Linked DNA regions of Rattus norvegicus. The protein of the gene in region 4 purifies or fractionates together with the protein of the main gene of each other region. This does not show direct contact. Links are inferred from orthologs where the notes say so. Each region holds a gene or a part of one and is shown on either strand. Other genes may lie near its edges.

Region 1 (3,500 bases), on a different chromosome or scaffold from region 4:
ACTTTTCCCTCAAAACCAGATACGAGGGCCAATGAAAGGCTAAAAGATCTGAATTCAGTGCCTAGAACCCATGTAAAGGCACATGTAAAATCCACGATGACTATAAAATTAAAAATAAAAATGAGTCAGACACCATAAAGAAGTATCTGCAGGCAGAAGAGGATTATGAAAATCAGTAAGACATTTTACTCTTTGGGTATTCTTCTCCACCCTGGTCAGATTAGTGGACTGCAGAGAGACACCATACAGACTGTCTGCCTCCCAGGAGGGCCAAAGTAACCAGGGACACAGGTGAGACCAAAATATTCCAAAATAAAGCCAAACTTAAGCAATATCTATCTATCCATCCAGACGTACAGAGGATTCTAGAAAAACTCCAACACAAGGAAGGTACCTACACCAAAGAAAAAAACAAGAAATCATCTCACGACAAATCCCAAAGGAGAGAATCAGACATATCTACCACAAACAACAAGAAACTAACAATCATCTGTCTTTAATTTCTCAGGTATCAACAGACTTCATTCCCCAGTAAAAAGACATAAACTAAACAGACTGGAAATGCAAGCAGGATTCAGCATTTTACTGCATCAAAAAACACACCTCAATGACAAACAGAGTAAAAGGCTGGAAAAAAGTTTTTGAAGCAAACGGTCCCAAGAAACAAGTGGGAGTAGCCATTCTGATATCCAATGATAGACTTTCGACCAAAAGTTATTAAAAAAGAAGGGGAAGGACACTACATACTCATCAAAGGAAAAATCAACCAAGAGAGAGTCTCAATTATGAACATCTATGCCCAAGGGCACTAACATCTCATAAAAGAAACATACTAAAGTTCAAAACACATTGAACCTTTCACAATAAATAGTGAGAGACTTCAACATCCCACCCTCACCAATGGACAGAATGTGGAAAAAGAAACTAAACACTAAACAGACACAGTGAAACTAAGAAAAGTTATGAATCAAATGGATTTAACTGATTATCTATAGAACATTTCATCCTAAAACAAAAGAATATAGCTTCTTCTCAGCACCTCATGGAACCTTCTCCAAAACTAACAGTATAATCAGACACAAAACAAGACTCAATGGATATAAGATTGAAATAATCCCATGCATCCTATCATATCACCACGGACTAAGGCTGAACTTTAGTAACAAGAAAGCAAGAGAAAGGCCACACACTCATGTAAACTGAACAACTCTCTGCTCAATGATAACTTGGTCAGGGAAGAAATAAAGAAATCAAAGACTTTATAGAATTAATGAAAATGAACATACAACATACACAAACTTATGGGACACAAAGATGTCCCTCAAGCGAAGAATAGATACAAAAAAATGTGGTTCATTTACACATTGGAATACTATTCAGCTATCAAAAACAAGGACATTATGAATTTTGCAGACAAATGGATGGAACTAGGAAATATCATCCTGAGAGGTAACACAGACCCAAAAGGACACACATGGTATATACTCAATGATAAGTGGTATGATAATGATAACAGACAAAAAGTACAGAATACCTAGGAATAAAATCCCGCAGACAATAGTAAGTATAACAAGCAGAAATAACCAAATGAGGATGTTTCAATCCGACTTAGAAGAGGAAAGAAAATAATCATGGGAACTAGAGGGAGGGAAGGAAGGAGGGAGGGAGGGAAGGACCAACAGACAGAGGGAGGAAGGGAGGGAGGGAGGGAGGGAAGAACCAACCTGGGTGGTAGAGAGGAGGGGGAGAAGAGGAACAGGATCAGGTATGGGGGGATGGGGACAAGAAAGAAGCCCAGAGGGCCAGGAGAATAGAAATATGCAGCCTTGGGGGTGGGAGGTAGAGGGAAGACCCTCTGGACAGTACTAGAGACCCAGGAGGTGAGAGACCTTCAGGACTCAATGGGGTGACCTTAGCCAAAATTCCCAACAATGAGAAGAGAGAACTTGAAGATTTCACCTCCAGTAGACAGAGAAGCCTTCGAGTGGAAGGACAAGTGGAAGGACGAATTTACTAACCCAAAATCCTCTTCTGGCCTCCCTGATCACTAGGCTTGTACATGAAAGACATACATGCAGGCAACTATACATAAAATATAATATATACATAACATTTTATATACATAAAATATAATAAAATAAATACACTATTTTAAGCAAATTAAAAATCACTTACTTTTATGGATTATCAGCTTCTCCAACTTTCTTTTAGCAGCTGCTCTTTCCACAATTTTCTGGTCAATAGTATTTGCTGTCACGAGGCGATAGACAACAACTGGCTTTGTCTGACCAATTCTATGACATCTATCTTGGGCCTGGAGATCAGACTGAGGATTCTTAAAGTTGAAAAGAAATGTACAGTTAGCAGAATTGTTAAACCTAAAAAAATGTTAAAAAATAATCATGTACACTATCTGGTGAGAAATGGTTCTTAGATTCATTTAAACTTCCAGAATTGTTGTATAAATTCCAACTCTCACGTAACAATTGTAAAGTTTTCTACTTAAATGCTCCCATGGGGGCCACTGAGATGGTTCAGAGGGTAAAGATATCTGCCAGAAAGCCTGACCACTTGAATTTAATCCCCAGAACCCACATGGTAAAGAGAACCAACTCCCCCAGACTGTCCTCTGACCTCTACATGAGACAGACAGACAGACACACACACAGTAACTTAAAGTGGTTTAAATACTCTAAAAATGTCCTAAGTTTTTATCCATAGAAAACTTGATGAATTCCTTCCTGCAAAGAGGCACTTTTCAAAATAGATGAATGAAATTTCAGTAGGTACAAAGTAAACAATAACATTTTCAGAACAGAAATATAGTCAGCATATTGCCGTACTTCTTACCCAATCACTGTCATAAATGATCACTGTATCTGCTGCAGTCAAATTAATGCCTAAGCCACCAGCTCGTGTACTCACTAAGAAAAGAAAAACCTCTGGATCCGTGTTGAAACTGTATATCTAAATGCAAAAGAAACATAAAAACAAAAAAATATAAAAAAAAAAAGAAATTTAAACATGGGTGGGGAGGCATTATTTTTAAATATCACTATTAAAAGTCTTTTCCAACAGAGCTAGGAAACAATTATATTAGCTAATAAACACTCTGTTTACATAAACACTGCTTTTCAAACATTTACATTATGCAAGATATTTTTATTTTGTTAAAGGTACATATCGCATCCAGTATCAAAAAACAGACAAAACTAGTTTAATAGATGGCTCAGTCAGTAAAGTACCTGCCATATAAGCAAAAGACTCTCAGTTCAGATCCCTGGCACCCATGAAGAGACTAAGTGGCGCCCTGCTCACTAATGCAGAGCTGGTGGAAGAGACTGAAATGGCAGAGACAGGCTAATCCCTGGAGATCACTAGCCAGCCAGCCAGCCTAATTAATGAGTTCTAGGTTCAGTAAGACACGCTGTCTCTAAGACATGATGGAGAACAAAGAAAGATGATATTGAATGTCTTCTTTACCTTGGGGTATGCACATA
Region 2 (3,500 bases), on a different chromosome or scaffold from region 4:
TCACCTGACCAAACTCATTCCAGCTGAAGTCTCTGCCACCAAATTAAATGCCTGACCCTTCAGAGTGGGCATCTCTACACATCTGACTGTGTTCTCTGCTCCCACACCCAACCTGGAAAAGTTGAGGCAAGGACAGAACAGCTATGGGGTTGGAGAGATGAGTAAGTGGTTATAAGTTCAAGTTTCCCCAGCTCCGGAAAAAAAAAAAAAAAAAAAAGTTCTACAAGTTCTTGTAGAAGACCCAGGTTTGGTTCCCAGCTCCCACATGCCAGCTCAAAATGAACTATCACTCCAGTTCCAGGGGACCTAACATCCCCTTCTGGTCCCTGCAGGCAGCAGGCATGCATAGAATGTGTATATACCTATATAGGCAAACACTCATACGCAAAGAATTAAAAACAAAATAGAAACAAGACTCCCACTCTGGTGCTAACAGACATTGTCAAAGTACATTCATTGCTCCCTCCTCCCCGAAAATAACCAAAGCAAAGCCCCCAGACCTCTTTCCACTCTCCAAGGGGTTAGAGATGCTAGCAGCATGGCCACTGCAGTTAGCACTGGGAGAAAAGAATGCTGAAGACAAGAGCAGGGCAGCACATACTCCCAAGCCCCTCCCTCAACTACCAAAGAGCATAGGGATCCTAACAGCCAAAAGCAGCCATGTTTCCTCCAGGCATTATGGGAGCTTAGGCATGAACAGGCAGCAAAGGAAGAGGCAAAAGGCTCCATTGCTAACTGCTTGCTTTCCAATTTGATTATCCCACTTTTTTTTTTTAGAATGTCTATAGTGGCTAGAAAGGAGAGGGTGTTCTGGGGCTGGAGAGACGGCTCAGAGCTTAAGGGCACTGACTGCTCTTCCAGAGACCCTGCGTTTAACCACATTGTGGCTCACAACCCTCTGTAATGAGATCTAGTGTCCTCTTCTGGCCTGCAGGTATATATGCAGGCAGATCACTGTTTACATAATAAATAAATCTGAGAGAGAGGGGAGAGGGAGGGAGGGAGGGAGGGAGGGAGGGAGGGAGGGAGGGAGGGAGGGAGGGAGGGAGGTAAAGAAAGTGTTCTCACTAAATTTCTCTAACCTATTAAGTAGGAGGACGGAGAGGCCTGAGAGGAATGAAGGCAGAGAGACCACAGGGGCCGTCTGGGGAAGACCCTTTCTACTTCTGTTCCAGAAAGCTCTGGGAGCGAGGTTCTGGGGTAAGGCTCCAGAGTGTACTGGCTGAGCATTCTGAGCAGGTCAGGTTCCCTATCCTCCAAGGGCTGCCTCATTTGTCATCTTCATACCCTGGATAACTCGGAGGGAAGAATGGAAATAACCTAAACAAAGCCACATAAACCTGCTCTTCCTCTTGGATAAGTCTCCTTAACTCAAAACAGGACTGGAGGTTTGTGCCACAAGGACTGAATTTGTCGCCAGGATAGTGTAGGAAAGATGAAGCGATACCACCCCTTGTTTCTGATAGGTGAAAGGAAGGGCAGAGGGGAGAGGCCGACCTGGGATGGATGGGACGAGGCCCCAGAGAGGGCCGATTAACACTGTACTCCTGGGCAGCCTGGGCCTGCCTTTCACAAACAGTTCACAAGAGGAGCCGGCGGAGCAAGCTGCAGCCGGGGTCATGCACCGAGACTGGTCACCGCTTAAGCAGCCAGCATTTATCCAGAACCCCAGGCATTACCTGCTTAGTCTGCTCTCTGTGAAATACCTCTAGTTGCTCCACCTGTGCAGGGGGAGAAGCAATGGAGACAGTGAGATGCAGCCACTGCCAGACTGACCTCACTCGGGCTCTGAGACTTCCCCCATAGAAGGGAGAGGGGGGACATGGGGGCAGGCCAGCTGGAATCAGGTAACAGGACACAGGGGCCTGTGATCCCAACACGTGGGAGGTGAAGGCAGGAAGATCAAGAGTGCAAGGCCATCTTTACTTATATGGTGAGTTCAAGGTTAGCCTGAGTTACATTAGATCCTGTTTTAAAACACCAAAGAAACAAAAGGGTAGTCAACCTGACTCTTTAGATTCAGCTCTCAAAGAAAAGGGGGCCATAGACATCGTCTGTTGGAGGGTGGGGGGGTGACTGTGGAAGTTCAAACAGGATCTAACTATGCAACCCATAAGCGGCCTCAAACTCATGATCCTCCTCCTGACTTAGCCTCCTACGTGCTGGGACTACAGGCATGCACCACCACTCGCTGTCATAGCATTCTCTTTCCGACAAACGGGATTCTACTGCTTACTTATCTTTCTCTGCTACTCAATGAGTGAAGGCAGGTAGGCAGTGTCCATCTGGGGTGGAGGCAAGGGGAGGGCTACAGAATGCAGAGGACACAGCATGGACACCTTACCTGGGCAGTGAGTTTCTGCCTCTCTTCTTGGAACCTCTGCCTCTCCTCTAGGACCTTCACCTTGGCACTTTCGTACTTGGCGGTCATCACCTCCAGCTCCCGGCTAGTGCTCTGAGCTTCTTGCCGCATTTCAGCCAGGTGGGTCTCGGCATCAGTGCGCACAGCGGCCAGCTCCTGGACATACTTCTCCCGGGCTTGATCGAGCTCTACTTCTAGAAACTGCCGGCCCAGGTTGGCCCGTTCTCCCAGCCCCCGGTTCTCCTCGGCCAGCAGGCCATGGGCCTTCTTCAGCATGCTCAACTGCTCTGCATAGCTGGCCTTTTCTGCCCGCAGCTGCTGGGCTGCTCGCTCCTGCTCAACAATCTTCTGCCGCAAAGATCCTAGCTCTCCAAGCTCCCGTTGAGCCCGCATTAGCTCTGCCTGCAGCCCGCCAGCTGCCTGCTTGCTCTGCTCTATCTCCTCCCGGAAGCGCTTCTCGGCAGCTGCCTGCTCAGCTTGCAGCTGCTGACAAAGGTGCTTGGCAGGCAGCAGCTCACTCACCAGGGCCTGTGTGCTGGTGTGCTCCAGCTGCAGGGCAGAGAGCGCTTGCTCCTTCTGGAAAAACTTCTCCTGCCAGGCCTTCAATTCTTGACCCGATTCCTCAGCTCGCTCCGCTTGTGAGGCCAGCTCCTGCCTCAAGTTCTCAGAAACTACACGCTGCTTCTCTACCTCTTCTCGGAGGCTCTGTACCTCCTCCCGTAGAGCTGAGCTGCGTTCTGCTGCCCTGGCACTGCTGCTGGCTGTTTCTACCTGAAGCAGGCGCAGCCGCTCTTCCAGCTTCTGGCTCTTCTCTGACTCAGCTACAACCAGGCGCTTCAACTCCTTGCTTTCTCCCTCCTTCTCTAGGACTTGGCGATTCAGGATGGATACCTCCTCTTCCAAGCTGCTGATAAGACTGCTCTTTCTCTCAGCTTCCTGCTGGCCACGGGCTACCTGGGCCTTCCACTCTTCCTCAGCTTTGCTGTGGTCCTGGGCTTTGGCACGGAGGGCTTGCAACTCTCTTTGAGCTGAGGCTGAGGCAGCCTGATTATGCCCCAGCTCTCGAGCCTTCTCCTCTAACTGGCCCTGCAGTGTCTCCAGGGCTTTGTCTTGCTCAGCCCGGCAAGCACGCTCGGAC
Region 3 (4,219 bases), on a different chromosome or scaffold from region 4:
TTAGTTATGCCAGGCTGGAAGCCAGTAAACTCCATGGAAACCAATTTAGGAGAGGTAGCATTGAGGATCAAGTAATGAGGGACCTTTCCTTGTAAATAATCGAAACCAACCATTCTTTTGCCTTAAAATATTCACACTTGAAATGTTCAATCATATAAACAGGCAACCTCAACAGCATACAGGAAAAAAAAAATCAGTTAAAAAAAAAACCTATTCTTTAAGATCTTGGTTGTTTTGTTTTTGAGACAGGCGTCTATGTATCCCAGGTTGGCCTCAAACTAGTTACTCAGCTGAGAATATATGACCTTCAAGTCTGATCCTCTTGCCCCTGCCTCTCCAGTGCTGTAATTATAGGTAAAGACCACCCAACCTGCTTAAATGAAGAACTTTGTGTCTCTGAGGTAAGCACTTTACCAACTGACCTACATTTCTAGAGCACCCTTCCACCCTTTAAGGTCTGAAGCAAAATATATACAATTAAGTAATTCACTTTGTTACTTAATAGGAACACATTTTAAAACACAAATGTTAGAATAAAGAACAAAATACTCTGTAGTAAGCATCCCCACCTGGGGAAGCATTTTTAAGAGACTCACTTCAGCGGATGCATCATGTCCTCGCCTCTTCTTCTGCCATTTCGACTTCTACTTTGATTGCCCATGAAGCCAAACAATCCTCCACCAAAAATATGTGAGAAAATATCATCCATGCCGCCACCCCCGCCGCTGCCTTCCCGTAGACCTTGTTCTCCATATCTGTCATATAGCTCCCGCTTCTCTGGATTTGACAATACTTCATAGGCAAAACTTATTTCTTTAAACTATAAAGTAAAAGAAAAAATGAAAACAATTGGATTTTTAAGTGCAAGAATGTGAGAAAGACTTCAAAAAACGAGAAGCCACCTAACTCCAATAAAAAGCTCTGAGTTGGTTTCCTTTTGGTCCTCTTTATTACCTATTGCTAAAAATCTTAGAATTCTCATTGTAAAACTAAAATTGTCCTCTGAAGGTAATTATCATTATTGTATATGCATGAGTGTGGGAGTATGGAGATCAAAAGACAACTTTCTCTCCTTCCACTGTGGATCAAGCTCAGGTGGTCAGGCTTACATGTGGCAAAGACTTGTAACAATTGAGCTATCTCAGTAGATATAATTTTTATTTCTGAAGAAGATTACAAGCATTAGGCTTTACTCTGGTCATTTTCAAGTAAGTTAAAATAACACTGAGAGTTTCACTCTGTAGGCATAAATGAACTTTTCCCTACATCACTCCTTATTTCTTTAAGGGACACATTTCCAACTTCAGTTTAAAACTAAAACCCCGGGGCTGGGGATTTAGCTCAGTGGTAGAGCGCTTACCTAGGAAGCGCAAGGCCCTGGGTTCGGTCCCCAGCTCCGGAAAAAAAAAAAAAAAACTAAAACCCCAACAATAAAACTCCAAATAACTTACTTTATCTCCAGCATTTGGATTCTTATCAGGATGGTATTCTTTGGCTAACTTTCGGTATGCCTTCAAAAAAAGATTTTGGAAGAGAGTTATACACAGCGAACAATTTAAGAAATTCACTTTTCTGAGAAGCAATGTTCTAAAGTTATGGCCTTCCAAAACTGTCACTCACTATTTGACGTTTTCCACTTCAGTACTGCTTCCTTGCTAATAATGTAACCCAAGTTACTGAGGAAAAATACAAACAAAACAAAACAAAGAAAAAGAGACTGAAACATTATTTCTTGTTTTTTTTTTTAAAAATATTATCAAATATCTTTGATGACCAGTAACCAGACCAAAAAGACCACAATAAACAGATTGTAGATTGAGCGCTACATTTTACAGAAACCCTAGCACTCCTACAAATTAAGCAAATGATACTTCTACTAAGTATCTCTCCCCATGCTGGCTGGCTCCTCGGCCTGCCCTCCAACAGGAAAACAGCAGGCGGTCCTAAGTGATGTTTTATTAGCACTTGGCCGGCTAACTGGGGTCCTACCTGGTGGTGAAGCTACATACTCTCAATTAAGTGATGTAGGTAAGCACCATGTAAGTCTTTACACAGACTCATGAATTATATAACACAGCCTACCATTTCCGGTAGGGCAACAGGAAGTCTTTTTCTTTGGACTTCACCAGTCCCAATACTTACGGGACATTCTTATTTTTCTCAGTTTACAGATTTGATGCCGACAGCCATAGTAGATGCGGACTTTACTAATAGCTTAAGTCCCGAGATGATTTTGTACAAAGGACAACAATGAGACCTGTCTTATTTTTAGTGAGTGCACACGCAGGTGTTTGGCTGGGACACACGACGACTTATCCCTGAAGCGGCCACGGGGTATTTAGAGCTCCAGCCCAAGAACAATGCTTCTAAACAGACCCAAGCTATTCCGGCTGCCCGGCGAGGAAGGCAGAGGGAGGAGCCTGTTCAGCGCCGGAGGCTGCGGCCCTCAGCCCCACACCGGCGCCGGCGGTCAGCTCCTCCCCGGCCCGGCGGCGCGAGCACCGCGGTTCGACCTGTTTTTCCGGGTGGCCCGGGGCGCCGAGGTGGCGGGCCGCTTCTGCGCAGGGCCGGCGGGCGGAGGCCCAAGGTCAGCCAGAGCCGACTGCGCCCCCGCCGCCACCGCGCCTCAGCCCGGTTCAGGCCGCCCCGACCGCGCAGGCCCCGCGCCCTCGCCCCGCCCGCCGGCCGGCTCGCTCCAGTACCTTCTTCAGCTCGTTCTCGCTGGCGCCGGGAGGGACGCCCAGGATGTCGTACAGCTTCGTGTCGGCCACGTTCGCCATGGCGGCCTGCCCGGCAGCACTCGCAAGCAGGCGGCGGAGCGGAAGGAGCGCGACCCGGACCACGAGCGGCGGCAGCGCAGGCCGAGGAGACGGCGCGGGGAGGCGGGCGGGGCTGAACTTTGACCCGGCGCAGCGCCATGACGTTGCCACAAGGCCCCTCCCCCGGGGCCGGACGGGGCGGGGCGGTTGGGCGGTGGGCGACGGTGTGCGGCAGGTGGGGTCCTTTCCTGACGCCCGTAGGCGACGCGCGAGCGACCGCGGAGTGGAGGGAAGCGGATGACGGCGTTCGTAAGGAACTCTCGCTGCGGCTGAGGCCTAGGGGAAAGAAGCCGGCGTGGAATCCTCCTAGGGTGGTACCCCCGGGGCCGCGGTGAAAAGCAGCACGTGGGTGTGAGTGTGTGAGGTTCCCACATAGCGAATTACACCCCTAATGTGATTTTATCAACACCTTCACTAATTCATATCATCTCCTAACTTCCCCCTCAGCACCTCTGCGTAGGGAAAACAATTTCATTCATAAATACTCAGATTTACACCTAGCAGAAGAGGTTTTAAAGGCATAGCCATCCTGTCACATTGAAGGAGAGGACAAAATCTTTTTACACATTCCCGGTTGGTTTGGGGGCATCCAGATAAACCAAAGTCACCCTGTTCCGCCGGGATCATGTGTTCAAGTGTCTCACTTGACAGCTTTAAAATTAGCTAACGCCGAAGGTTTGGTTGGCATAAGGCAGTATGGCTGCGGGCCGGCACTTGGTGGCTGTCAGTCGATTTCGTTTGCTTTAGCTCAAAAGATTTCCGTGCTTCTACCACGTGCCAATATGCACAGCTTGCCTTCTAACTGGTTTTCTGATAGTAAAACACTTCTAGTCAGTTGAAACCTGAACTGGGAAACAATTTCTCATTGACCATAAGTCTGTCAATGGAGGTGGTATGCCTTTCTTGTCATTCTTCCTGGCCAAGTTGTGGAGGTCCTTCCCTGCCATGTTAAGGGCTAAGGAAATTTAACCTGAGAGCTCTGAGGAGTCTTAAGAGAAGTTAGATGCTCCTTCTACCATTCAAAATGCCCCTTCACCTGTAACGTTCTCCTTGATTCATAACCTAGTAAACCTTCCTGTCTTATTTGAGGCCCCACTATGCTCGTTTTCCTGATAAGTATGATTTATGACATGAATGCTGTTCTCACATGTGAGTCAAAATTCTTTAATAGGATACAGATTATGTATCTGGTATCAAGAACTTATTAGAAGGTCCTAGCAGGGGAACCACAGCTATTCTATACCCTTGGCCAAAGATTAGCCTCTCTCTATTGGGGAAGCTCATCCTTTTTGACCAAATATCCAGTTTCAGGAAGAGACATACATGGAGCAATGAAGAGGAGAGGGAACTTTCACCTACACACCCAGATCAGCCAAAACAACCCTGGTAACAGATGCTCA
Region 4 (4,131 bases):
TGTCAAGCCAGGAGAGGAAGAGGAAGAGAGAGAGAGAGAGAGAGAGAGAGAGAGAGAGAGAGAGAGAGAGAGAGAGAGAGAGAGAGAGAGAGAGAGAGAGAGAGAGGAAAGAAGAGTGAGAGACTCCTGTAGCTTTATTCACCACTTATATACCCAAGTCTCCAGGTAGAAAATAACTGGGAAGCACAGTGGGAAACCCTGGCTCGTGACTACGAGACCTGAATTAATTAGGGAGAAATCCGAGAAGACCAGCCTAAATCTCAAGGATAAAGGCTGAGGAAGCAAAAGGCAGAAGTAAATTGACCACCACCCAGGTGTGGTCCAGGTGTGTCAGTTCCACATGCATCAGCCGGGCTCAGCAGAGGTCATGCAGTGGAGACACCGGGTGTTTACTACTTGGTCTTTTCTTCCAGTACATGGGAGAGGCCTCTGTCCAACAATCCCTTGACTTCTTAACTGTGACCATACAGTTACAAAGCGGCCAGGCCCAAATCCAATATGGCTCACTACACTCGAGATCTTGCTTTAAAAAAAAAAAAATACCGCCGCTTTGCAGCATGACCCCTGGAAGAGAGCCATACCCTCATAAATCCCATAAGGACTGGAAGACAAACAACAGAAAAATCAATAGGCAGAGCTTGAAAGAAATGACACAGTTGGTAAGGTGCTTGCATTTGACCTGTGTTTGACCCAGCATCCAAATTAAAAAGCTGGGCTTATAATCCCAGCACAGGCGATGCAAGACAAGTGGAGTTCTGTGGCTCCGTGGCTAAACAAACGAACCTAAACACAAAGTCCCAGGTCCAGGAGACACTCTGTCAAAACCAAGGGAGATGATGCAGCAGGTAAGGGTGCTCGCCACCCAGCCTAGTATCTTTATTTTACTCCCAGAGCCTACATAAGGGCTATTTCTCACTGTTGTCCTCTGATCTTCATATGAGAACAGAGTCACACCCACCCCACTCACCCCGAGTGCACACAAACACAAAGTGGGCCTTTATTTCTGCCCACTTTCTTGCAATATCACTACTAAAAAATCACTCCTGACCACGACTGTATATTTTTAAGTTGTAATAAGGGGGAGCAATTAAGCATGATGGTCCACACCTGTCACCCCAGACTTGGGCGGTGGAGGCAGGTGGATCGGGAATCCAAAGTCATCGTCATCAGCTATACAGGCAGTTCAAGGGGAACCTGTATTATATGAACCCCTGTCACCGAAAGAGGGCAGTTAAAGAAAAAAAAAAAAGTAAGCATTTCGTGTTACTTGGTTTCTAAGTGCTGACCCTCAGTCCACCTGTTTTTAAGTAGAGAAAACCTGCAGATGGCCAGTGATGATAAAGGCCTGGTGTAACAGAGATGGTAGCAAGGAGCAATTCAGTCAGTCTGGGCTACAACAGACCTTTGTGGGCAGTGGCAGAAGAGGACTTCAAAAGCTAAACCACAGATTGGGAATGTAGCTCAGTAGAATGTCTACCTAGAATGCACGAAGACCCTGGATTCTATCCCCAGCATCACGTAAAACCAAGCATGGAGACCCACACCTGTAATCTCAGCTCTAAGCAATCGAACACAGGAGGATCAGAACTTCCAGATTCTCTTCTCTTACTTTGAGAGTTAGAGGCTAGATTGGGATACATATGACTCTATAGCTCGGGGGGGGGGGGGGGGGGGGGCCCTAAAAACCTCAGAATACGGGCATTACCAAATAAGATTTTCTCATGCTGTCTTTCATAAAGTCGGGACTTTTTAAGAAAAGCCTTTTCCTAGCACCATCTTGAGTTGCCATAAATGAAAACAGCTCTCTCCCCAACACACTTACTCTCCACAGAATTCCCTACTCCAAGCTAAGCCGTCCTCAAAACAGGCAAGCGCTCTACAGCTGAACTGCCCCTGCGGCTCAGCAACATCACTTTTTAGGCTGATGAGTTCGTAATATAAAGTTTCACGTCCAGTGAAGAGGCACACCTATGGAGAATCCTAACTACTCAGGAAATAAATGAACAACCACCAACTTAGAGGCAAAAGCAAACAAGCCAACCTGCCTAGACAACACAGCTTCAATATAAAATACAACGGGAAAAGAAGATTTCTGTCTACTTTAGCCTTTTAAGGTTTTCTGGTTGAAAGTGATGTGTTTATACAAAGATAAAGAGAGGATATGTCCCAGGTAAGCGTCGTCCTTGTTTCGTTCATTGAAAACTCTTACTTCTTAAAGATTGTCAATTTCCTGTCTTCACCCATCAAGGACCCGAGGGAAATAATTTAATAATTATATTATTAGCGCCTTCAAAGTCCTATATAATATTTTATTCCCGGATATTTCACTGTGTAGACCGACTAGCTTCAATTTCAGAGATCCACTTGCCTCAGTCTTCCCAGTGCTAGAATTAAAGGAGTGTGTGGTCCCTACGGGATTTTCTCTTTTTTTTTTTTTTTTTTTTTTTGAGGCAGGGTCTTATCCTGTCGCCCGGGTTGGCCTTCAAAACGCGGCAATGCTGTTTCACCCTCCCAAATGTTGGGATTACAAGTGTGACCAATTTATGCGGATCAAACTCTACACTTCGGAGTTTTCAACAATATGCACAAACAACCCTCCGTAATCTGCTCGGTTTCTTCAAAACATAATAAATAAAAGCTTTAATCCGAACCTTCCAGGACCTTACCAAAACCCAAAAAAAGCAACTGTCAGCCAGAAGGATCTTCCAAATCTTGAACGCTTGAAGGCGGGAAAGTTGCCTACGAAGACGCGCAAATTTTAGTCTGGCCCTTTAAGCGGCCCGCTTAGCGTTCCTCCAATTTCCCACAATCCCCTGTTACGTACTTCCGGTTCCTCTACCGCTGCCGGAAGTTGTTTCTGTCAGTCGCGCAGTAGTGTAGGGCAAAGCTTGGTGGGAAGCGGTATTTTGTTTCTTGCTCTTCGTTGTTGAGATTCAATCCGTTTTACAGAATCTCTGCGGCAGCCGTCACCATGTCGGTCCCAAGCGCACTCATGAAGCAGCCGCCCATTCAGTCTACGGCTGGGGCCGTCCCAGTTCGCAATGAGAAAGGTAAGTGTGGCTCCCCTCTGGTCGGATCTTACCTCATTCATCCTCAGTATCTCAGAAACCTGCCTTAGGCCGACCATACCAGCTTGGCTGACCATTAAACCTAACTTTTCTTCCTGCCTTCCACCTAAATTCGCACGTGGCATAGTTAGAGATTGGGGGAAGCGGGATCCACTTGCACATATCTGATCGATTTCGTGAGATCCTCTCTCGAATTAAAAGTTAAGAAGGCTGGAGAGATGGCTCAGCGGTTAAGAGGACATACTCCTCTACCAGAGGACCCAAATTCAATTGCCAACACCCACATCAGGCGACTCAACAACCACCCGTAACCCCAAGTTTTGGGAGATCTGGCCTCTGCCAGTACGTACATTTGTGCACATATCCACAGACAGAATCGTTGCAAATAATAATAAAAATAGGGCTACAGATATGACTCAGCCGTTAAAGGCCAAGCTCACAACCAGAACAGTAACAAAAATGAAAATATAAGAAGAAAGTGAACTAGAGGGGGGTGTGTGTTATAGCCAAAAGCTAACTTTGCTTCGCCCAGTTTGATTAAAAGGGTTTCCTCGGTTTATGAAATAATTTGAATCGTTTGTATAATCTTTCTGTTCACTGGAATTGTTTGTTTTGTTTATTTTTAAGTGTATGAATGTTTTGCTTGCATGGATGGATGTGCACCGTGTGGATGCAATCCCCATAGGGGCCAGAAGAGAGCATGGAATCCTCTGGAACTGGAGTATCAGACTGTTATAGACTGCCATGTAGATGCTGGGAAATTCATCCAGGCCCTCTGCATGAGCAGCAGGTCCTCTTAGCTGCTGAACCACCTCTTGAGTGCCAATTTGTTTGTGTTTTAGAAGAGATCATCTGATTCAGCACAAAGCTAGAGGGAAAGAAGGTAGAAACCGGTCAAGTTAGGTTGTTAAGTTATGTTGTAAAGGCTGCCATAGCATCTCAGAGGGAGAAGCTAGGAAGATAGCTCCCCTTACTGTGCCTGAGTTCATACCCCTAACATCCGTACGTAGAGAACCTTGAGGGGTGAAGAGACGAGGGAGGATCTTTGAGGCTTGATGGTTGA
Region 5 (3,500 bases), on a different chromosome or scaffold from region 4:
AAGACTGACTTTAAAACCCATGGTCAAATGTGGACCTCAGCCACCCCAACTGCCACCAAAGGCCCCTCACGCACACTGGGTGGCAATAGCCTCCATGGAAATCGAAGCCAGTGATGGCCTGCACGCAGTCGATGCCCAGCTTGCGGGCCACGCGGTGCAGGTTGGGTAGGTTCATCTGGACACAGCCGATAGGCATCATGCTGGGCAGGAAGAGGTACACGTTCCCAAACTCATTCCGGGGCACCTGCAGAGACAGACGGGCGTGCCAGAGAGTAGCTGGCAGGTAGACTGGGCAGCCTATACTGATCCCCACCCCACCCCACCCCCAGAGCTGCCCTTACCTTCCCGTCTACAGCCACAGGAGGTTGATACTCTTCTGTCTGCCAGTGACCAAAGAGGCCCAAGTCATTGTGGTCATGCAGCTGGGGCTCCGAAAGCCGGGCTTTCCGGGCACGGTTAGAGAAACCTTTCACCATCTACTCCAGAGGAAACAGGGCGGGTTATAAGAAATGCTTCTTGCTCCAGGACTCAGCTTGCACCAGGCACTGAGTGCTGTCAATCTGACACAGGTGGGCCTTCCCTAGCCAGCTCACACAGGGTAGGTATTATATGGTTCTCACTCTCTTTTAGTGAGGGAGGTGAAACAGAATTTTGCTCTGTAGCCCAGGCTGATCTCTAACTCCTGATCCTCCTGCCTCAGCCTGAGTCTGAGATCACGGTGTGCCATCGTGCCTGACCTCCATCTCCATGCTTTAGATAACCACTAATCTCAATGAGCCCAAGAGGAGCAGCCCACGTGATATTCTGTGCCCAAAGTCACAGCTCACGAAGGTTTTTTTTTTTTCTTTTTCTTTTTTTCTTTTTTTTTTTTCGGAGCTGGGGACGGAACCCAGGGTCTTGTGCTTGCTAGGCAAGCGCTCTACCACTGAGCCAAATCCCCAACCCCTTTTTTTCCTTTTTCTTTTTTTCAGAGCTGGGGACCGAACCCAGGGCCTTGTGCTTGCTAGGCAAGCGCTCTACCATTGAGCCAAATCCCCAACCCCTTTTTTTCCTTTTTCTTTTTTTTCGGAGCTGGGGACCGAACCCAGGGCCTTGAGCTTGCTAAGCAAGCACTCTACCACTGAGCTAAATCCCCAACCCCTCACGAAGGCTTTTAAGTTCTGTCCTAAGTTCCTACACCCATTACCATGAGACAGAGATGGCATGACTTACTTAAGGCACCATGGTTTATAGGTGAGAAGAGCCAGGCTTTAATCCTGGTAACCCCCATCTCTCTGTAGAGTGATCAATCACTATCCACCAGTGTCACCCGTGGAAAGCAGTGCACAGCAGTTAAGACCTACATGTTTTCCTGGGAAGCTAAGGGGTGGAAGGAGAGGAGTGGCAAACAGAGGTTGCATAACACAGACGGGCAGCACAAGAAACTGCTAAGGAATGGCGCCTGGACCTGGGCACACAGGCTGCTCTGGTGCAGGGGTCAGGTCAACAAAAGCTGCTGGTAAAGAGCTTACTACATGTGGCCTCTCCCACCCTTTTCACTCTTTTCCTTTTAAAAGCGTTTGGAAAATCACTATTTAGATGAGGAACCCACCGAAGGGACTCAGGCTTGGTATGGCCCAAGCTGATGGCTAATCTTCTAGCATAACCTCTCAGCTAGCCTGTGGATTCAGCTGGCTTCCGTGTCTGACAGTCTCCTAAAGCTGTTTGCTCTGGTTAGGTTTTTATTGTAACTTGACACAACCTAGAGTCGCCTAAGAAGAGAGAGCCTCAACTTTAGAATTACCTTGATCAGATAACCTTGCCTGCGGCCATCTGAAAAAGACTGATGTGAGAGGGCCCAGTCTACTGTTGGGGCCCCGCACCCAGGCAGGGTTGTAAGCGAGCCCGGCAAGCCAGCGAGCATACTTCCTCCTTAGTTACTGCCTTGAATTCCCTTGATGATGGACTATGACCTGGAAGTGTAGGCCAAAGCCCTTTCCTGCTCCGACTTGCTTTTGGTAACGGTGGCTACCACAGCACCAGAAAGCACACTAGGCCACAGTCCATCCATGTGTTCAATGAAGTCACTGAGCACCTCTTCCATGCCAGGACAGTAATCATGGGGAAGAGGCAGTGCCTGTGGACAGAGCTCAGGCTGTAGGGAGAGGTAAGGAATGCAGGGAAGAATGGGAGCAGGCCACAAAGAAGCCAAGACATCAGTGGGACAGGGAAATGCTGACCAGAACACAGCTGCAGAGAAGGGCATCTAGGGCCAGGACAGGGAGAACAGCTGCATCTGGGGTGGTCTAGAAAGGAGGAGGCAGGTACTACAGCATTAACCATGATCACGTGAGGCCACTACCTGAAGTAATAGGTGGCTAGAGCCAGATCACCACAGAGGCCAGTGTGTTCCAGAAAGAGCCACAGAACTAATACAGAGAATGCATTTGATCTAGGAAGGAGGCTGTGACTGTTACTCAAGGAAGAGACACTGAGGCAGGAGGCAGGAGGCTGGAGGTCAGAACAAAGGAGAAATCTGGAGTCGTTCAGGAAGTGAGTGTTACATGAGCAATCATGGATCTAGTCTGAACTGAGATACTGAAAGTCAAACACAGAATTACAAATAGGAGCTACATAAAATTTAGTTTATTGATTTATTAAGAATTTTATTATAACTTTAATAAGTTTAAAAATAATTTTGTATAATAAATTATGTATTTATTAATAATTTTACTAATTCACGAAATGGATACTAAAAATGTTAAATGTGCGACTCAACTATAATCCCTGGACAACACTGGTCTGAGATTGAGCAGGTCTAGGCAGATCCCAGCAGGCAGCTCCATACACTTAAGCCACTGCTGGCAGCCACTACTACTGAGACCTGCCACCCCTTCCCACTAGCTAAGGGCCCACCACAGCTCCAGTTACAGCCCCACTGGGCTCCGCCTCCATCTGACAACAGAGCAGTACGTGTATGTAAGGGCCACTGTGCTCTGCCTGTGTGACTGAGCCAATGCCCAGAGAAACGTCTGGAACATCTTGCTGAGTTCATGGCTCTCACAGGCAGCTAACCTAAAGATGTCAAAGTCAGAGGCAAGAGCTGAGATGAGGGCCTGTGAGTCCTACTGAGCCTAGGATGTTACTAACTGCAAAGCCTCCTGGCAAGACATATCCTGTTCAAACTCTAATCTTCTCATCTGTAAGGCTGACATTATGGTAGTGATTCCCAGGGTCACCGAAACACAGCAGCTAATGCTTGGTGAACTGGTGTGCAGGGCAACCAGGCTAGTAGGTTTCTTATGAAGCAGGGCTTGAACCTCAGAATAACCCAGCAACCCAGCTCTAACCTGCTGGCCTTTGAGCTTATAGCATGAGTCTTCAGGCTACTTTCAGGCCTATAGTTCTTATTTGGAAAACTTATTTCCTATACATGCCTTATTAATAAAAAATTTAAATGCTTAGCTCCTCAAACCCTGCTGGAGGCAAAGAACAGGTTATTTCTTCTATCTGGGCATGCA
Region 6 (4,095 bases), on a different chromosome or scaffold from region 4:
GTCACTGAGATGGGTCTGCACTATGGTATTCTGTTTCTTTTGATTCCAGTTTAATTCCATCAAACCATAAATTCCCTCGGAAATGCCGTAGACACCTCAGTCAGTGCAATGCCAGAATCTCGGCATATGTTATTTTGTTTGATTCTAGACAAAATAATCATAATCGCAGTCATCATAATGTGGGCACATAATGTGGGCTCCGTGTTGTTGTTGTAACTTATGTCAACAGCCTTCAGGATGAAGTATCTGTGTGGCTGTAAGCTGAAGGTTTACAATAGAGTGCATGATCTGGTGGGAAGTTGAATTCAGGAGACCAAGAAAAGGCCTAGCGTACACATAGCAAAACCAAGGTAACTTCCTAGATTACAACAACCATCTCTCCCCACTTCCCAAGGCCACTGAAGTTAAATATACCTCGATGTATTACGTTCAGCTGTAACTACACCTGTGATATACATTCAACTGAACCATGACCCATTTTTTTTTTTTTGTCTCAAAAGTGAAAGGCAATTATGACAGTTAGGAGACTTGCCTTTTTTTTTTTCAACCTAAGATCCTTCTGAAAGGATCTCAGCAAGGCCCCTCATGACATTTATTTGCTTTGCAACACATTTATTATATTACTGCATTTCGATAACTCATTGATAACAATTATATCTTTCACTTAACTCACAAAGTAAACAGACCACGAGGCCTTTGGCAAAGATGAGCATGTAATATGATGCCTAAGTCTAAAATTCAATTATAATTCCATGCTATAGTTAAAGAAAGACACCAACGACTCACACAGCAAATACGAAATTAACATATATAAATAAGTGCGGTTTAAAATACCCACCCCTAGCAGAAAGCTTTTTGGTGTTGATAATTTTGGCAGCATACTCTTGTCCAGTAGGGATTTTCATGCATCTTCTCACCACTGAGAATGCCCCCCTGGAAAGCAGTAATTAGCAATCATCAGTATAATCAGATCCAGTATCCACTTGCAAACTCACAAATCTGAGCAGTTTGATGAGTCTTTAGCGATCTGTCAAGTATCAATATAATAAAAAAGCATCATCTAGGAAATGAACGAATCTTCCCTGCCGAACCAGATCCTTTCTAATGTTGTGGAATAAAAGTAATTTTTAATTGACTGGAAACAAACAGATTATTAATCAACAAAATAGAAGGACATGCCAATTATAACCACTCTTGTTTGCACATGAAATTTGAAAACAATTTATAATTCACACTCATAAAACACCAAATGCTCATGGCAAACCCTGCAAAAAGCAGAGACCGGGAACAGAAGAAAAAAAAAACTGCTGCATGTTTATTTCGGTAGAAAACACAATTAACGTGGTTCCAAGTGAAGTAAATATGGCGATTGTTTTCATTAAAACATAAATCTCGAGCTCACTGGTGTGCTTTAACAGGTCCTGGGCTAAGGTGATTTCTCTCTGCCTGGTTTGGGCTGGGGGAGGGGAGAGATTTGAATTAAGCTGCTCTCCCGACATGTCTGCATGTTTCAACAGCTGATCATCTATAAAGATATCATTTTCGTTTGATTTAAAAAATGCTCACACTTCCTTGTATGCAACTGTACTAAAAACCTACAACACACACACACACACACACACACACACACACACACACACACACACACAAATGCATCCTTTCCCTGATAGTGGAAATTAGCGATAGAAGGACTGGTTTGGGATTTGATGCTTGTTACCAACACTCCCGACTGGGTCTCTGGTTGTCCCTGTACGATCTTCAGTAGGTACCCAGTCCCTCTTTAACATCTCAAAGTACTTCTGGCACTTCGGTGGAGGAGGTCCTTTTTCAAAGGCTAGGCTACCCTGGGGAAGCGCTCTCTCGGGCTCCAGGGCTTTTCTCTCTGCCTAGATAAATAAATCCTCTCAGAACCGAGGTACACGTAAATCCTAGAATGATGGTGAGCGAGTCACCTTAGTGCAAAGAAGGATAGCGGATACAGGGCAGGGACGTGGGTTCTGTTGGGTGGCCTTTTCCTGGACGGAACAACTACTTTGGATGCCGAACCAGACTCTCCACCAAACCAAGTTGAACTTTCGGCATCGATAAACAAGGCACCATCTCTGAGAACTAATGCTCATTAGCTCATCCTAACCTGTATCAGACCGCAGATACACCGCGGGCTGAGCAAAAGACATCTACAGAAAAGGTGATAAATGTTGCATTTTACATGCAATCTCCTTTCCTCCCCGAACACACACACACATTCACACTCGCGTGCGCGCACACTTCTCAGGATGACAGCTACAACTGCAGAGATCGTAAATTCACTAAGTCTCCAGTGGAGAGGTGGAGGACCCGAGGAGATGAGCTGGGGATTCGGGGCACCCGCCACACTAGGGCAAAGGTTTCTCCCCACTGTGCCCCACCCGCACCAAGCCATGGTCCGTCACCCCGCCTCGGCCCGCGGGCTCCCTGTCCCCACGGGGGAGACGAGGGGTCGCGGGGAGGAGGTGCCAGGCAGGGACGCTTACTTTCCGAGCTCCTCGAAGAGCTGATACTCGTCGGTGAACCGGGTGCAGGTGGTGGTCGAAGCCATGGCGGGGTCTGGACAGTGCGACGGGCGACACGCGAACAGACGCGGCTTCCCGGGACTGGCACCGCCGCGCTGTCACCCGGGGCCGCCCTCACTTTCCTTGTCCGAAAGTAGCTCGCCGGCGAGGGAGTGCGCGCAGGGGCGGGGCGCGCGGGGCGAGGTGGCCAGACCAGCCCGAGCCGCGATCCTTCTTCCTCCTCCTCCCGCCGGGCGAGCGCTCCCGAAGGGGCGGGGGGGAGGTGTCAGGAGGGGCTGCCGCGGTCACCGAGGCCGCACGGAGAGCTCAACGTAGCGCCCGGGGTGGCGGGCGGCAGTGGCCAAGAGTGAACACCCAAGGGGTCGCTCCTGCGGGCGGAGGCGGCGCTGGTGGCCTGCGCTCTCTCCCCACGGGGCCGCAAGGCTGGGAACCTGCGGGCGACAGAGTGCGCTCACTCGGCTCAGGCGAATCTGGCAGCCGCGGCTCCTCCCCGGCGCCTCCTCCCGCCTCTCCCCGCCCAGCGAAGCCCCCTCCTCGCCAGCCCCACACCTCCCTCTAGCGACTCCAGCCGCGTCCCTCCGGGCTGCTCTCCCGCAGCCGTCTAAGGAGACCGGAGGGAGGAGATGTGCAGAGCCCCGGGGAGCGCGCTTAAGGGGACGGGACAGAGATGTCGCAGTGACCCACGAAGGGACGGAAAGATGAGGGACAACTCGCAGCTCCCACACCCGGGATGTCTCTACCCCGGCAGTGATGGCCGTGATGCCGGGGAAACCGAGAGCGGGATGCAACCCTTGCATCTGGGCGCGGTTCGTGTTTACTGCTCCCAGACCCCAGCCCTACGTCTCCCGGCTCACAGTGACTACCGGGGGCTGCCAGCCCTGGCCACCTCTGCTTCGCCTGGCCGTCCCTTAGCTAGGAGCAAGGATGGTCAGGGCACCACGTTTCGATTCAGTTTTTACTTTCACCTCTTCGCCCTCCTCTCCCGTTGTTTTCCCAACTAGGGCGATCCCCAAAAGCATTTGCTTGGCCATAAAGCCTAACATAATGAAAGCAAGAAGTGCACCACGCTGCCACACCTTCCTTCCTCTCCAGAGTAACTCCCCTGTAACCTCAGCAAGTTCTGATAGTAAGAAGGGCTCTCGCGAGATGTCCCACTGTTGGTGGCAAGGGGGTGGGGCGTTAGGAAGGTTGGCTGCGGGTCACGCGACCCAGAATGGGGCTGACGTCATTAGCGTCACGTGAGCGTGTCTAGCCTGTTTCTCTTTGCAGAGGGAGAAGGAAAGGGAGAGGGAGGTCACAAGTTCTTTGCTTGCAGTCTCAAAGAGCTGGTCAGGTAGGGGCACAGGAATGTACTCCCTCAAGGGCTATCTGAAAAACCATTTAAGAGTTCAAGAGCGTGGCCTACAATTAAACATATGTGACACAGTTGCTTAAAAGTGAGCATGGAGAAAAAAATTAGCATGTAAGGTAGGTAAGTTGTAACTGGCTGCTAAGATCACTTCGGGGCCTTCTTTCCAGTTCCCAGTCTTTAATAAACGAGGCA

What was found.
Region 1: the proteins of Wdr76 (region 4) and Hells purify together in Homo sapiens (affinity purification with mass spectrometry; 4 studies listed by BioGRID and IntAct, counting the BioPlex papers as one, with this or other methods). This does not show direct contact. The link is inferred for Rattus norvegicus from reciprocal best matches to the Homo sapiens genes WDR76 and HELLS.
Region 2: the proteins of Wdr76 (region 4) and Numa1 purify together in Homo sapiens (affinity purification with mass spectrometry; 3 studies listed by BioGRID and IntAct, with this or other methods). This does not show direct contact. The link is inferred for Rattus norvegicus from reciprocal best matches to the Homo sapiens genes WDR76 and NUMA1.
Region 3: the proteins of Wdr76 (region 4) and Dnaja2 purify together in Homo sapiens (affinity purification with mass spectrometry; 3 studies listed by BioGRID and IntAct, with this or other methods). This does not show direct contact. The link is inferred for Rattus norvegicus from reciprocal best matches to the Homo sapiens genes WDR76 and DNAJA2.
Region 5: the proteins of Wdr76 (region 4) and Xpc purify together in Homo sapiens (affinity purification with mass spectrometry; 3 studies listed by BioGRID and IntAct, with this or other methods). This does not show direct contact. The link is inferred for Rattus norvegicus from reciprocal best matches to the Homo sapiens genes WDR76 and XPC.
Region 6: the proteins of Wdr76 (region 4) and Camk2d purify together in Homo sapiens (affinity purification with mass spectrometry; 3 studies listed by BioGRID and IntAct, counting the BioPlex papers as one, with this or other methods). This does not show direct contact. The link is inferred for Rattus norvegicus from reciprocal best matches to the Homo sapiens genes WDR76 and CAMK2D.

Annotation. Positions count from the first base shown.
Region 1 is NC_086019.1:246,148,629-246,152,128, reverse strand, and holds part of Hells (lymphoid-specific helicase), read right to left. Parts: intron 2,968-3,500; coding exon 2,851-2,967; intron 2,336-2,850; coding exon 2,176-2,335; intron 1-2,175. UniProt on the Homo sapiens protein: Plays an essential role in normal development and survival. Involved in regulation of the expansion or survival of lymphoid cells. Required for de novo or maintenance DNA methylation. May control silencing of the imprinted CDKN1C gene through DNA methylation.
Region 2 is NC_086019.1:165,769,252-165,772,751, reverse strand, and holds part of Numa1 (nuclear mitotic apparatus protein 1), read right to left. Parts: coding exon 2,345-3,500; intron 1,722-2,344; coding exon of another isoform or gene 1,680-1,721; intron 1-1,679. UniProt on the Homo sapiens protein: Microtubule (MT)-binding protein that plays a role in the formation and maintenance of the spindle poles and the alignement and the segregation of chromosomes during mitotic cell division.
Region 3 is NC_086037.1:37,669,600-37,673,818, reverse strand, and holds the start of Dnaja2 (dnaJ homolog subfamily A member 2), read right to left. Parts: upstream 2,801-4,219; 5' UTR 2,781-2,800; coding exon 2,703-2,780; intron 1,512-2,702; coding exon 1,452-1,511; intron 821-1,451; coding exon 597-820; intron 1-596. UniProt on the Homo sapiens protein: Co-chaperone of Hsc70. Stimulates ATP hydrolysis and the folding of unfolded proteins mediated by HSPA1A/B (in vitro).
Region 4 is NC_086021.1:128,909,182-128,913,312, reverse strand, and holds the start of Wdr76 (WD repeat-containing protein 76), read right to left. Parts: upstream 2,801-4,131; 5' UTR 1-2,800. UniProt on the Homo sapiens protein: Specifically binds 5-hydroxymethylcytosine (5hmC), suggesting that it acts as a specific reader of 5hmC.
Region 5 is NC_086022.1:125,554,085-125,557,584, forward strand, and holds part of Xpc (DNA repair protein complementing XP-C cells), read right to left. Parts: intron 477-3,500; coding exon 342-476; intron 245-341; coding exon 75-244; intron 1-74. UniProt on the Homo sapiens protein: Involved in global genome nucleotide excision repair (GG-NER) by acting as damage sensing and DNA-binding factor component of the XPC complex. Has only a low DNA repair activity by itself which is stimulated by RAD23B and RAD23A.
Region 6 is NC_086020.1:217,697,256-217,701,350, reverse strand, and holds the start of Camk2d (calcium/calmodulin-dependent protein kinase type II subunit delta), read right to left. Parts: upstream 2,801-4,095; 5' UTR 2,579-2,800; coding exon 2,514-2,578; intron 934-2,513; coding exon 839-933; intron 1-838. UniProt on the Homo sapiens protein: Calcium/calmodulin-dependent protein kinase involved in the regulation of Ca(2+) homeostatis and excitation-contraction coupling (ECC) in heart by targeting ion channels, transporters and accessory proteins involved in Ca(2+) influx into the myocyte, Ca(2+) release from the sarcoplasmic reticulum (SR), SR Ca(2+) uptake and Na(+) and K(+) channel transport.